Cricetulus griseus: one gene and its partners. The protein of the gene in region 1 binds, or shares a complex with, the protein of each later gene. Links are inferred from orthologs where the notes say so. Each region holds a gene or a part of one and is shown on either strand. Other genes may lie near its edges.

Region 1 (3,752 bases):
CCTGGCCTAAGCACTGTGTAAACAAGATTTCCACTTTGCCATCTCAGAATTAATGTGACATGAGAAGATCCCAGATCAACAGTGATAGTTTTAATGAAGTTCTGGAGAGATTTGTACACCCTTTTCTTACAGAAAGAGTGACTGAGTGGGGAAGGACACTAAGCCCACACCTGCTCAATAATTCTCAGAAGCTGTTCGAGAATGACATAATAAAAAGATGAGCCACTCTGGAAAGCAGAAGAGGCTACTAAAGTCTAAATTTATTCTAAATTCTCTCAAGGACATCCCAAGCTCAGCAGGATTTCTCTGTGTAACCACCCTGGCTGTCCTTGAACTCTCTCTCTCTGTAGATCAGGCTGGTCTCAAACTCACAGAGGGATCAAAGGCATGCACCACCACCACCAAGCTAGACCTCAGTTTTAATGGACTTCCTCAAAAGCTGGAGAACATTCTGGAATGTCCTGATCCACTACCACTTAACTCAGTGACTCTCAAGGTATGGAAATTCTGAAGCGCTTTCTCTCAGCCACATCTCTTGCAGAAGCAATTGTAAGGAAGGAGCTTGCATCAAGAAAAACATCAACAAAATGTACAAAAATGTAAGGCAACAACATTCTTTATATTATCAACATGCAATGAGTTACTTTTCAGTGAATTAATAAATACAATTTCTCATACAAGTACTGGATTTCAATCCTGTTTTTGAATTGTTTTTTTAAGACAGGGTTTCTCTGTGTAGCTCTGGCGGTCCTGGAACTTGCTCTGTAGACCAGGCTGGCCTTGAGCTCACAGGAGATCTACCTGCTTCTGCCTCCCAATTGCTGGGATTAAAGACATGTGCTGGCTGCCGCAATCAAACCCCACCCCCCAGCTCCTTTCTGTGGTTGTGCTGAGACAACATAAAGAAGTCCTTGGAATAAAAAATGCTATTTACCACTGACTTGTTCATATTCACTACATTCCAGACTTTATGTCTGAATACTCAAGTAGAACTGGTAAAATGGGTAGATCATCCTGTGATGCTGAGCAGAATACACAAATATATATATATATATATATATATATATATATATATATATAGTAAGACAGACACACACACACACACACTCTCTCTCTCTTTAGTAACAAAGGAGGAACAGGACACAGCAATCACTTGCCTCCTGACTGACCTCATATTTCCCTTTCCTCTATCTTGTTTGTTGGCTGGTTGATTTTTTTTTTCTTTTTTTTGAGTCAGGGTCATATGTAGCCCAGGCTGGCCTCAAATTCCTGGTCCTCCATACCTCCTAAGTGTTGGGATTACATGCTCAGCTCCTCTCTTGCCTGACTCTCCAGAACTGTTCACATTTTTTTATAGCTGACAATATTTAATATAACATATGATAGAAGTTATTTTTTTGAGACAAATCATTAGATTGGTTATATCTAATTGCTTAATTTTCCAGAAACTTTTTTTCAGTAAAAAGTGTTGCTGATAAAGAAACTATGGGAATGGGGAGAATGTATGTCTATGGAAGCCTTTAGGAAAGCGTCCGACTGGCCAGCTGGGATTGACGTTGTAGACCTACTTCTACAGGTCGGCTGCTCAGGAAACTACAATCAAGCTTTCCAATTTCTCACATCTTATTAATCACTACAAGTGAAACAAATTTTCTGCTCTCCAAATACAACAGTGTGCAAAATATCCCGAGTTTACTAGTCACCTCAAATACTGGCTATGGAATAATTCCCCAGAAAAGTGTTTCTCAATTAAAATTTTAGTTTCATCTTTGAGAACTTTCAGAGTATATTTTTTTCCTGTTATAGATCCTGACAACATAAAGTACCAACTTCTCTCATGGATAACACAATGAAAATGTACCATTATTAGAAAGATGAGAGCTTGCTACTCTTCCCAGGAAGGTAGCATTTTCCTTGACATCTATTACGTCCTCTGGTAGTTTACAAGACAAGGCAATCTGTGAGCCACCCCAAACCCTCAGTACACCCTGGAAAAACCGTGCTAAATTAAAACACATTAGCTGGACCAAAAGGCTAGGGAACGCAGAGCTGAAGAGGTGGAGATTTGAAAGCCAGCATTCCAGGAGGAGAGAGACTCACAATTTCGCATAAAAATCACAAAATTCCTTGTAGACTTTTACATCACTGTGCCTGCGTTGCAGCTTGGATACAGCCCTCTCGTCTTCGTTCCCATTAGTCTCGAGGACACTGTTAAGGACTGTCCGGGGGATTTCTTCATTTTCTGGGATAGTGCACGGGCGTGATCGGCCTGGGAAGGCCATTGTACAGGCTTCAGAGTTCAGAGTCCTGTGATGCCGAGCAGGATACAGAGAAGAGAAACAATATCCAGGCCTCCTGTTTCCCAGCCAGGGTCACTCCCACTGTTCCCACATGCGTCACCCAGCTGCCAAGGTCGCTACTGACTTTTCATGTTAAGAGCTCAGTAGCATAGCAGTCTGGATCTATTACAGCTTTCTAGATCTCAAAAACACTGCACATGACAGTGACAATCTGTTTCTGAGCAATTCTCCATTTGGGTGTGCAACTTTTGCAAAGCTTGGCAAGCTCTGGCGAGGATCTGTAAGTTCCTGAAATGAAGTTCTATGTAGTCTCCTGTTATCTTTGCTCTTCATACAATAAACAACATAGTAAGGACTTCAACAAATGGGCGCAGTATAAATGAGAAAGAGCTAGAGTTGAATTGTAACTCTTTATCCCAGCTAACCCTGCAACAGGAGTCACAAATTCTTCATGGTGTTCCAGCTATATTTAGTTTAAACTAGTTTAAATTACAGGTTTGTAATTGTGTTTGTCATGATGATAATAACAACAGCATAGCATGAGGCCACACAAGGGTTAAGGGTTTTTCTTTTTCTTTTCTTTCTTTTTTTTTTTAAACTCTTCATTGATTCTTTGTGGATTTTATATCATGCATTCAGATCCTATTCATCTCCCTGTTCCCCCTGCTTCTACCCTCTGCCCTTGCAACCTCCCCCAAAACAAAACAAAATTTAAAAGTAAACCCACAAGCAGACAAACAACAAAAACAAAACAAAATCTCATCGAGGAAGCTGTAGTGTGGCCCAGTGGGTTACACAGTATACCCTTTAGTCCATACATCTTTACTTGTAAGTTCAATGAGTCACTGGTCTGGGTTGAGGCCTCTGGCTTCTGCTACACTATCAATACTGGGCCCTCACTGGGACTCCTCTTGGATAGCCTGTTGTTGCCCTGTGTCGTGGAGACCCCAGCTTTGGATCTGCAGGTCTGGCCACTTCACATGTCCAGCAGTTCATCTGAGTTCAGCTTCTAAGCGAGGAGGACAGCCACAGCTCTGTGCCAGGGTTTTAGGGTTTTTCTGTGGTTCCATTCTTTATTCCAGTGAGCCATATTACCCAAAGCAAGCACCCAAAGGAACTTGTGAGCAGGCATAGCGCTGGGCACCTCAGGTAACAGATAAGTCATGAAACTAACACACAAGTAACACACTGTTGAGACCTGAGTAACAGTGAATGACAATACGGAGGCGTTAGCAAGTATCTTCTATCATATCGCATGCCCTATGAAATGGGTGTTAGTCACAAGTAAAAAAACAAGTGGTGGGGTCAAGACTCAAACCTAGGGACTATACTGTAACTTCTATGAGAGAAAATGGCTCAACAGAATCACTGGGAAATAAAATGGGTGAACTCTAAATCAGTATGTGGTAGACACAAAATGGGACCAGAAGCAGAAAATGGGATCACATTTCC
Region 2 (3,652 bases), on another chromosome or scaffold:
ACCAGACTCTTGGGCTAAGTACAGGGTGGTTTGTTCTAGGGCGGTGAGCTGTGTATCCTGGGTGATCAGGAAAGTGGTGGTCTGGGGGTGAGTACATTTTAGGGACTCAGTGTTAAGGTGAACAGATAGGTCACAGTCAGATGCTGATCTGTTATCCTAGCACCTGCAGAGGATGATGGGCCACTACACATCTGTAGACCACAGATGCTAGGGTTTGCAGTCATCCTATTAGGAGAATGAAAAGGACTAGGTTGCTAGTGTCTGGGTCTGGAGCATCTTCATGAAGCTTCCTAGGGTGATGCAAATGACACACAGAGCCCAGGAAGAATTGGAGCTCCTCCATACTCTCCTGGGTCAGCTCATGCTGGTGAGGCCTGTGCATGGTATCCCATGCCACCTGTGTGGGTCCTGGAGAGCAGAGCTCAGGATCTGTGTGGAGACGAGAGCTCTCTACAGTGCAGTTAAAGCAATCAGGTCTGGGTCTGGCTGTGGTTGGAGTAGGCTGAGGTGGGAGGCAACCAATCTGTGAGCCAATAGGGTTAGGATGATTCTGCCCAGAGGGACAGCCAGGTGGTGGCTCCCTGTCTGCTGGGATTGTCCTGTTGGGTGGGACCTGTGGACAGATGTCAGAGTGCTAAGCAGCACCCTCTGGCATAGCAGCCCTGGCCCCAAGTCAAGGGGGAAGTTCCAGAGAGCATTCTAGCTGCTTTTCTAGAATGCTCCAGATTGTCCCAGAGTTCAGACACACAGCAAGAGAGCTCAGTGAAGACTGGAGTGGGCTCTATAGACGACAGGAATTGCTTACACTCACTGAACATCAGTCAGCAGCAGTTCACTCAAAATGAGAGGCCCAGAGTGCCAAATTACAGATTAGTTATTAAGTACTAAGGTAGAAAATGACATAGCAGGTTCTAGTCAGAGTCCAGTAGACACTACCCTGGTGACCTATTTTACCACCATAGTGGGACTAATAAGACAAATGCCAGAGAGTGTCTCCTAGGGAGTGCTGGGGTGGACAGTGAGCAGCCTGTAAGGCCTACAAACCATTTGCTTGGGTCTTTTTCAAAATCACCAATGCCAGCCTGAATGGAAGAGGGGCTCAGAATGCCCCAGAAGTAGCTGAGGAGCTATTGGAAGTTGATGGCTGCTGGTGGGAGAAGAGTCAGTTTTCTTCAGAGGTGTGATTCCTTGATAGACTACTTCTGATCCAGTGGATGGTCCTACACCCTTGTGCATATGGGCAGCTCTGATTGTACTCAGTAGGTTATTTTTTAAAAAAGAGGAGGACATAAAGTTAGAAGAAGGGTGGGAGTGTCTGGGAGGAGCTGGGAAGGGGGAGTAGGGTAGATATGACCTAAATATATTATATACACAAATGAAATTATCAAAGAATAAAACAATGACAAACTCTACTGATGTCATTCCAAGAAAGGATGAGTGTTAAAGGCTGTGTTAAAAAGGGACTGAGGGGATGGGACAGACAACACGGGGCAGGGGAAAGCAGGATGACTGTCCTTTTATCATGTGACAGGCCCATCTTATTGCTCCACACCATCACTTCATGATCCCCCTCTAAACAGATGAAAACAGAACACTAATGCTAAAACTGCCAGCATCTGCATCCAATCAGTGGACAGTGGTGATCTAATCACTGGACAGTGGTGACCCAGGCCAGTGCACTTGTTCTGAAGAGAAACGAGGGAGCCATTCAGAGGTAGAGAGAGAATGAGCTTGGCCACATGTTGTGTGTCATGTGTAAACTAGACAGAATTCTTTATTGCAACTTTTCTAAAAACAGCTGGGGAAAATATCCTATCTGGTTCACCTCTCTGAGCAGCTCACATCTCACATCCCATCCCTCTCCCTGGAAAGCTTTGGGTCCCTGGAACTGGCACTCACCTGTGTCTCCAGTTCTGTGACCTCCAAGTTTAGTTTATTCAGGTGCTTGTTCACGAATGTGATGAGAGTCTAAAAGAGAAACAAAAAGGCACTGAGATGGAGGCTTTCATGTGTCAAAGGGCCCTGGGGCCAGGGAAGAGGCTCTTGGTTAGGTAGCCCACAGGCTGTAAGGGACAGGGGACCCCTGAGAGACAGGAGGATAGGTGGATATCTGGTTGGGGGTCAGGGTGGGCAGCAGGGGAATTAAGAAGACAGCAAGAGACAAAATGACCCTCTGGGTCCCTCTTGTTGATTCCTGCTTTGGTACCATCTCCTGTGCCCAGGGAGTTGAAGAATTCTGAGTGAGGAGCAGAGAATGCTGGAGTCAGTGTGAATGGGAAGACAGGGTAAGCATCCTGCTGGGAGCAGAAGGGCCCTGGATGACTAACCAGCGACCAAGAGAGGGAAGAGATGCACAGGATATCCCTGGTACAAGCTGAGATTTCTTCATGCCCTGAGGGGTCCTAGCCCTTGCTGCCCCCAGATACCATAGGCCTACCTTCTTTACCACGTTGAGCTTGTCTGGAGCATGGTCAAACAGCGTGTCAAAGGCGTCACGTTCTGAAACAGGGAAACGCACACCATGCAGTGTAAAGTAGGGCTGCTGGGAGCCATGTGGTCAGCTACCATAGGGAATCTGTGCTCGATTCTTATCCCAATGTCACCGTCTGTGTGTGTCCGCCAGGTAACACATTTCTAAGCAGACTGACCCGGGCTTGGTCCTTTCTCTTCACTTCTATCCCACATATCCCAATGTAGTCACAGTTCTAAAGTGTTTCTGACATCCTCTGGTCATTTGTTACCCAACTAGCAAATTGTTCTGGCTAATTTTCAGAAAAATTATCCTGGTAGGGGCAGAGGTGAGGGCACAAGAGACCAGTACCTTCCAAGATAGAACAAGGGTCTCTTTCTGGGGCACTCCACATCTGCTAACCCCTCTGAGCCTCAGTTTCCCCTTCTATTAAACATCATCTGAAAGATAAGCCTTCCCTGGGGCTAGTTTTTAGTATAATCAAAACATTTCATGAGATCACCATGAATCAGGCTGATAGAACATAGCTAAGCCATGCTCCTGGCAGGGATACTTCTTGCTGTGGTGCCAGATTCTCAGAACCAGAGGTGACCTAGAAGTTTCCAGAAGCAAGCTGGGATGGGGAGGGTCTGTGACCCAAGGTCAGCCTTTTCCACTTGGCACTGATGGGCAAAGCTAAGACTGCTAGGAAGTGTGGTGTGTGTGTGTGTGTGTGTGTGTGTGTGTGTGTGTGTGTGTGTGTGTGTGTGTGTGATATATCTCCGACCCTTGAAGATTCTATAAACAAGACTGAAGTTCTGGGAGAGGGGAGTCATGATGGGGACTAAGAGTGAGTGAGGCCGGGGACTAGCTCCCAAGTGCATTCAAACATCTCTTCCTAAATTTCCATGCCAGGTACAGGGTAAGTCTTCCCCACTGGGGCCATATCTGTGTTGATGAATAAGTGTTCTTTATGTCACTAAGCTGTCCCTCCCAACCTGGCCAATGTGTCCCCAAGCTGGGGCAGATACATCAGATGATAGTACTATCTAGCTTCAATAAGGCCACCAGAGCTGGAGAAGCACACAACACTCACCATGTCTTCCAGAAAGGGCCCTGGAAGAAAAAGAGAAAACAAAAATCCATTATAGAGTTAGGTTTGAGTTTGGGGCTTGCTTGGGCTACATGAGGAGCAGAGGCTGA
Region 3 (3,652 bases), on another chromosome or scaffold:
ACAGTGAGATGCTTTCTCAAGAGTAAATGAGTATTATAAACAAATGCCCAGAACATTGTAAGTGGAGTTCAGCAAAAACTTGTGCCTACAGAAAGAACAGCACCAACAGAATTCCACAGGACACAGAAGTCACCATTCACAGGTGCAGACTACTAACTTAACATACAGTTATGTTTGTTATGAGTGTCTCCTAAGCCATTGGGATATTAGCCATCCAAATTTTTGTATGTATCTATAGCAAAAATAGTATGAAAAGACAAACATGTGACCAGATGTGATAAGCAATTCCATAATGGCTATGTAAGAGGCAGAATTAGTCTATGGCAAGAAGAGCTCTTCAAAACCTATATAAGAATCTGAGCTGGACATTTAAACAATTCTGTTAGCAGCTTGAGAACGGATTTTTAATAAACAATTTTCTGGAGTATCTTTGAACAGTGCATTGCAGAGAATTAATAGAAAGCAGAGAAAGCCTTTTCTTTCTTTCCTTTTGTATTCTTTAAGAAGGAAATCAAGAATCTTAGTTAAATGGGAGACTTGATCTCATGGAGGAACAAAATCTCTTTTGGAAAGTTAATATGATATTACTAAGTCTGCTTCTGCCCAGTGGTGTCAGCCACCTACACATCAAATATAAATCCTGCTGAACAATGAAGGAATATTTAAAAGGACTCTGTGATGGAACTATATACATGTATCTAATAATTTCTCTTAAGAGTTTTAGAACTAGCAAATAAATTTTTACTCTTAGAACCAAAGTACTGTGTTAAAGAGATTTACAGAATTAAAAGTTTCTCACTGAGGTAGAAGAAGTTTCCGGGGAGAGAATGTTCATTCAGGTTGTTGTAGGTCAAGTCCAGGACCTCCAGAGCTGGGAGAGAGCCGAATCCTCGAGGCAGTGTGTTCAACCTGTTCATGCTGCAGTTTGGGGACAGAAAGAACACGTCACCTCCTGCAAAGCACAAGTTCACAGGGAACACTGGAAACATGGCAAACCCATCTCAACAGGATGAAAGCCCAAAAGCCTGCCATGATTCTGCATTCACAGAATGCTGCTTGATTTTTCATTTTATTCATATAATTTGATTGACAAAAAGAAATTGTCACACTAATGGTATATACAACATGCTGTTGGGAAATATGGGCACAATGGAGGAAACACCACATTAAGGTATTTAACATACACCTGATTTCATGAGCATTCTGCATGTGCTGAGAGTACACTGGGAATGCAGATACACACAAATCTAGTCTCAGAGCAACTTTCAAATACAGCAAATATCATTAATTCTAGTTACTATGGTATAAAATAATCTCTTGAACTTATTCCTGAATAACTGAAATTCTTGGTCCTTTAACATCTTCTTAGTGAACATCACTTTAATCCACTGAGAGGACTTTCATATTTTACCTCACATATGAGATAACACATACTAACTTCACTTAATCATTTTATTCAGATAACTCATGCTTATGAAATGTATGAAAAATCTTAAGTCCAACAGGAAAAAAACTTGAATACCACTCTACATATGAATGCACAAAACACCTGTCTGAAAAGAAACTTCCTTAAGCATATGTAAACAAGAATTCAAAGCATGCATTACAGGTATTTGCTTTATTTCATCCATTCATTTTAATGGGAGGGGGAACCAACTTCTTGCTCAATAACTATATACTATACTAATGATCAGAATTATCTCCAGTTAGAATGTTAGTTGCCAGGGCCTGGGGCAGAGGGAGGGAAATTAGTTGTTTCAGGTTTGCAAGACAAGAAACTTCTGAAGATTTCATCTGTAGTAGTGTGAAAACAGCAATCTTGAATGACATGCTGCAAAAAGGTTAAGATGGTAAACTATATGGTGACTAATGTTAGTTATCAACTAGATACACCTGAGAGAAGGGAATCTTCACTGAGGAATCACTTCTATTAGACTGACCTATCAGCATGTCTGTGGGGACACTTTCCTCATTGCTCATTGGTATAAGAATGCCCACACATTATGGGTCTTGCCATCCTTCATGTAGGTGGACCTGAGCTGTATAAGAAAGGTAGCTGAAGAACTCAGAGGAAGCAAGCTAGTAAACAGGTTTTCCTTCTAGTTTCTGCTCTAGTTCCTGCTTTGAGTTCCTATCTTGGCTGCCCCCAATAATAGACTAAAACAACTTGTAGGCCAAATAAACCCTTTTAGTCCCCACGTTGCTTTTGGCTAGAATCTTATTACAAAAACAGAGAAGCAAATTACATACATACATACATACATACATACATACATACATACATACATACACACATATATAATCTAAGAGAAAATTGTGATATTATGTTTTATCCTTCAAGGCCTTTATTTTTCCTATTGCCGCTGTCTTTAAGAATACTTAAAAGCCAGCTTTAAAACAATTCAGTGAAAGCTGACAGACACTGGACGCGGGGAGAGACTGTGTGTGACACTAAAAATCAATGCCATCTAAGAAAAGATACAATGTTGCCCACCTCTACCAACCAGGCCTCATGAGAAATGACTGAGCAAAAGGGAACCCAAGAGAAAAGTGGATTTAAAAGTCTTAGGTGGAGGGGGTCCCAGGCTGACTTTACTCAAGGCAAAACAAACTTCTGGACTACTTGCCTCAAAACAGAGGGTATGTCAGCGTTCCTATGATGTTACAGTCTATGAGGCACATCTATGTCAGGCCTTCCATCTGGTTCACTAACTGCCAAGTGCTGACAAGATAGACTCTAGCAACAAACTGGGCTGACAGTCCAGAACAGTTGAGTGTGGTCCTTTACTGTGTCATTAGCCCAAAACCTATTACCCTGCAAACTTCAAACATTCATGGCTTTTCATTTCTTGTAAAATACACAATGCATTGTGCTTTAAAAATTAAGAAAAGGTCAAAACTTTCTCTCACGAGCTGGCCTAAAGTTCTCGCATGTCTTGCAATCATCATAACAAACAGCAAATACTACATAACTCAAAATTTGTTTGGTTGGGTGTCTTTTGGACTATGAATGCATGTGACCCTGTGCTTATGGTCTCCCAAGTGCACACTTTCATTCTACCTGCTTATGCCAAGCAGTCCTCTCCATCCTGCCTTCCCCTGGCCTTAATGTGTATATATAAGTATGACATTCAAGAACAGAAAATCCTTTTTGAAATCCATCTTCATTCCTTTCCCAACGAACTGAAAGTTTTATTGAAATAGCAACTTCTATGGAGCCATGGAGTTGAACACTGGTAGTTTTGCATAATCAATAAACTTAAGAGCCAAAAGTGCAAACAATTCCAAAAGGGGAAGGATATAACTAAGGTACATGTTCATCAAGTTTACCCTTCCGTCCTAAGACAGCCCAAACTCAACTGAACCAAGCCTGAGTTCATTTTCTTCCCAAATGTGTCTCCATCTCAAAATCCATGCTAGCTGTCCAACACAGAAATCCACATTGTATCTCTCCCACCAGTAACTGTCTTGGCAAATTTTCTTTTACATAGTTTTCTAATTAAATCTCACTGCTCCCATCCCTTCCTCCACTGTCACTGATTCAGATCACCTGAGACACAAAGGTAACTTCCTTACTGGCCCCTGGACCTCTACCCCAATTCCCATTAGCCCTCTTCACACTGAGCTTTCTACAAAACTGCTCTCATTTCAT

The links. Proteins that work in one complex are often made in the same cells at the same time.
Region 2: Lims1 (region 1) and Parva share a complex: the UniProt entries of both Homo sapiens proteins name them as parts of the heterotrimeric IPP (ILK-PINCH-PARVIN) complex. The link is inferred for Cricetulus griseus from reciprocal best matches to the Homo sapiens genes LIMS1 and PARVA.
Region 3: the proteins of Lims1 (region 1) and Rsu1 are in contact, whole or in part, in a crystal structure (PDB 7LT9), measured with the Homo sapiens proteins. The link is inferred for Cricetulus griseus from reciprocal best matches to the Homo sapiens genes LIMS1 and RSU1. Residues at the interface, in NP_001180417.1 of Homo sapiens: Cys252, Phe253, His254, Cys255, Asn256, Leu267, Asn268, Lys269, Ser279, Thr280, Cys281, Asn282, Thr283, Glu293, Phe294, Asp295, Met296, Lys297, Cys303, Lys306, Phe307, Pro308, Glu310, Leu311, Arg314, Leu315, Lys317, Leu318, Ala319; in NP_036557.1 of Homo sapiens: Asp21, Ser23, Asp24, Gln44, Val46, Ser48, His49, Val67, Asn69, Phe71, Asn72, His90, Asn92, Met95, Glu112, Asp115, Thr117, Tyr118, Arg137, Ala138, Tyr140, Ser142, Asp143, Ile161, Ser163, Arg165, Asp166, Glu184, His186, Gln188.

What each region holds. Positions count from the first base shown.
Region 1 is NW_023276807.1:2,693,792-2,697,543, forward strand, and holds the start of Lims1 (LIM and senescent cell antigen-like-containing domain protein 1), read right to left. Parts: upstream 2,298-3,752; 5' UTR 2,283-2,297; coding exon 2,101-2,282; intron 1-2,100. UniProt on the Homo sapiens protein: Within the IPP (ILK-PINCH-PARVIN) complex, binds to F-actin, promoting F-actin bundling, a process required to generate force for actin cytoskeleton reorganization and subsequent dynamic cell adhesion events such as cell spreading and migration.
Region 2 is NC_048596.1:88,111,230-88,114,881, forward strand, and holds part of Parva (alpha-parvin), read right to left. Parts: intron 3,566-3,652; coding exon 3,546-3,565; intron 2,500-3,545; coding exon 2,438-2,499; intron 1,969-2,437; coding exon 1,900-1,968; intron 1-1,899. UniProt on the Homo sapiens protein: Plays a role in sarcomere organization and in smooth muscle cell contraction. Required for normal development of the embryonic cardiovascular system, and for normal septation of the heart outflow tract.
Region 3 is NC_048596.1:219,325,444-219,329,095, reverse strand, and holds part of Rsu1 (ras suppressor protein 1), read right to left. Parts: intron 919-3,652; coding exon 800-918; intron 1-799. UniProt on the Homo sapiens protein: Potentially plays a role in the Ras signal transduction pathway. Capable of suppressing v-Ras transformation in vitro.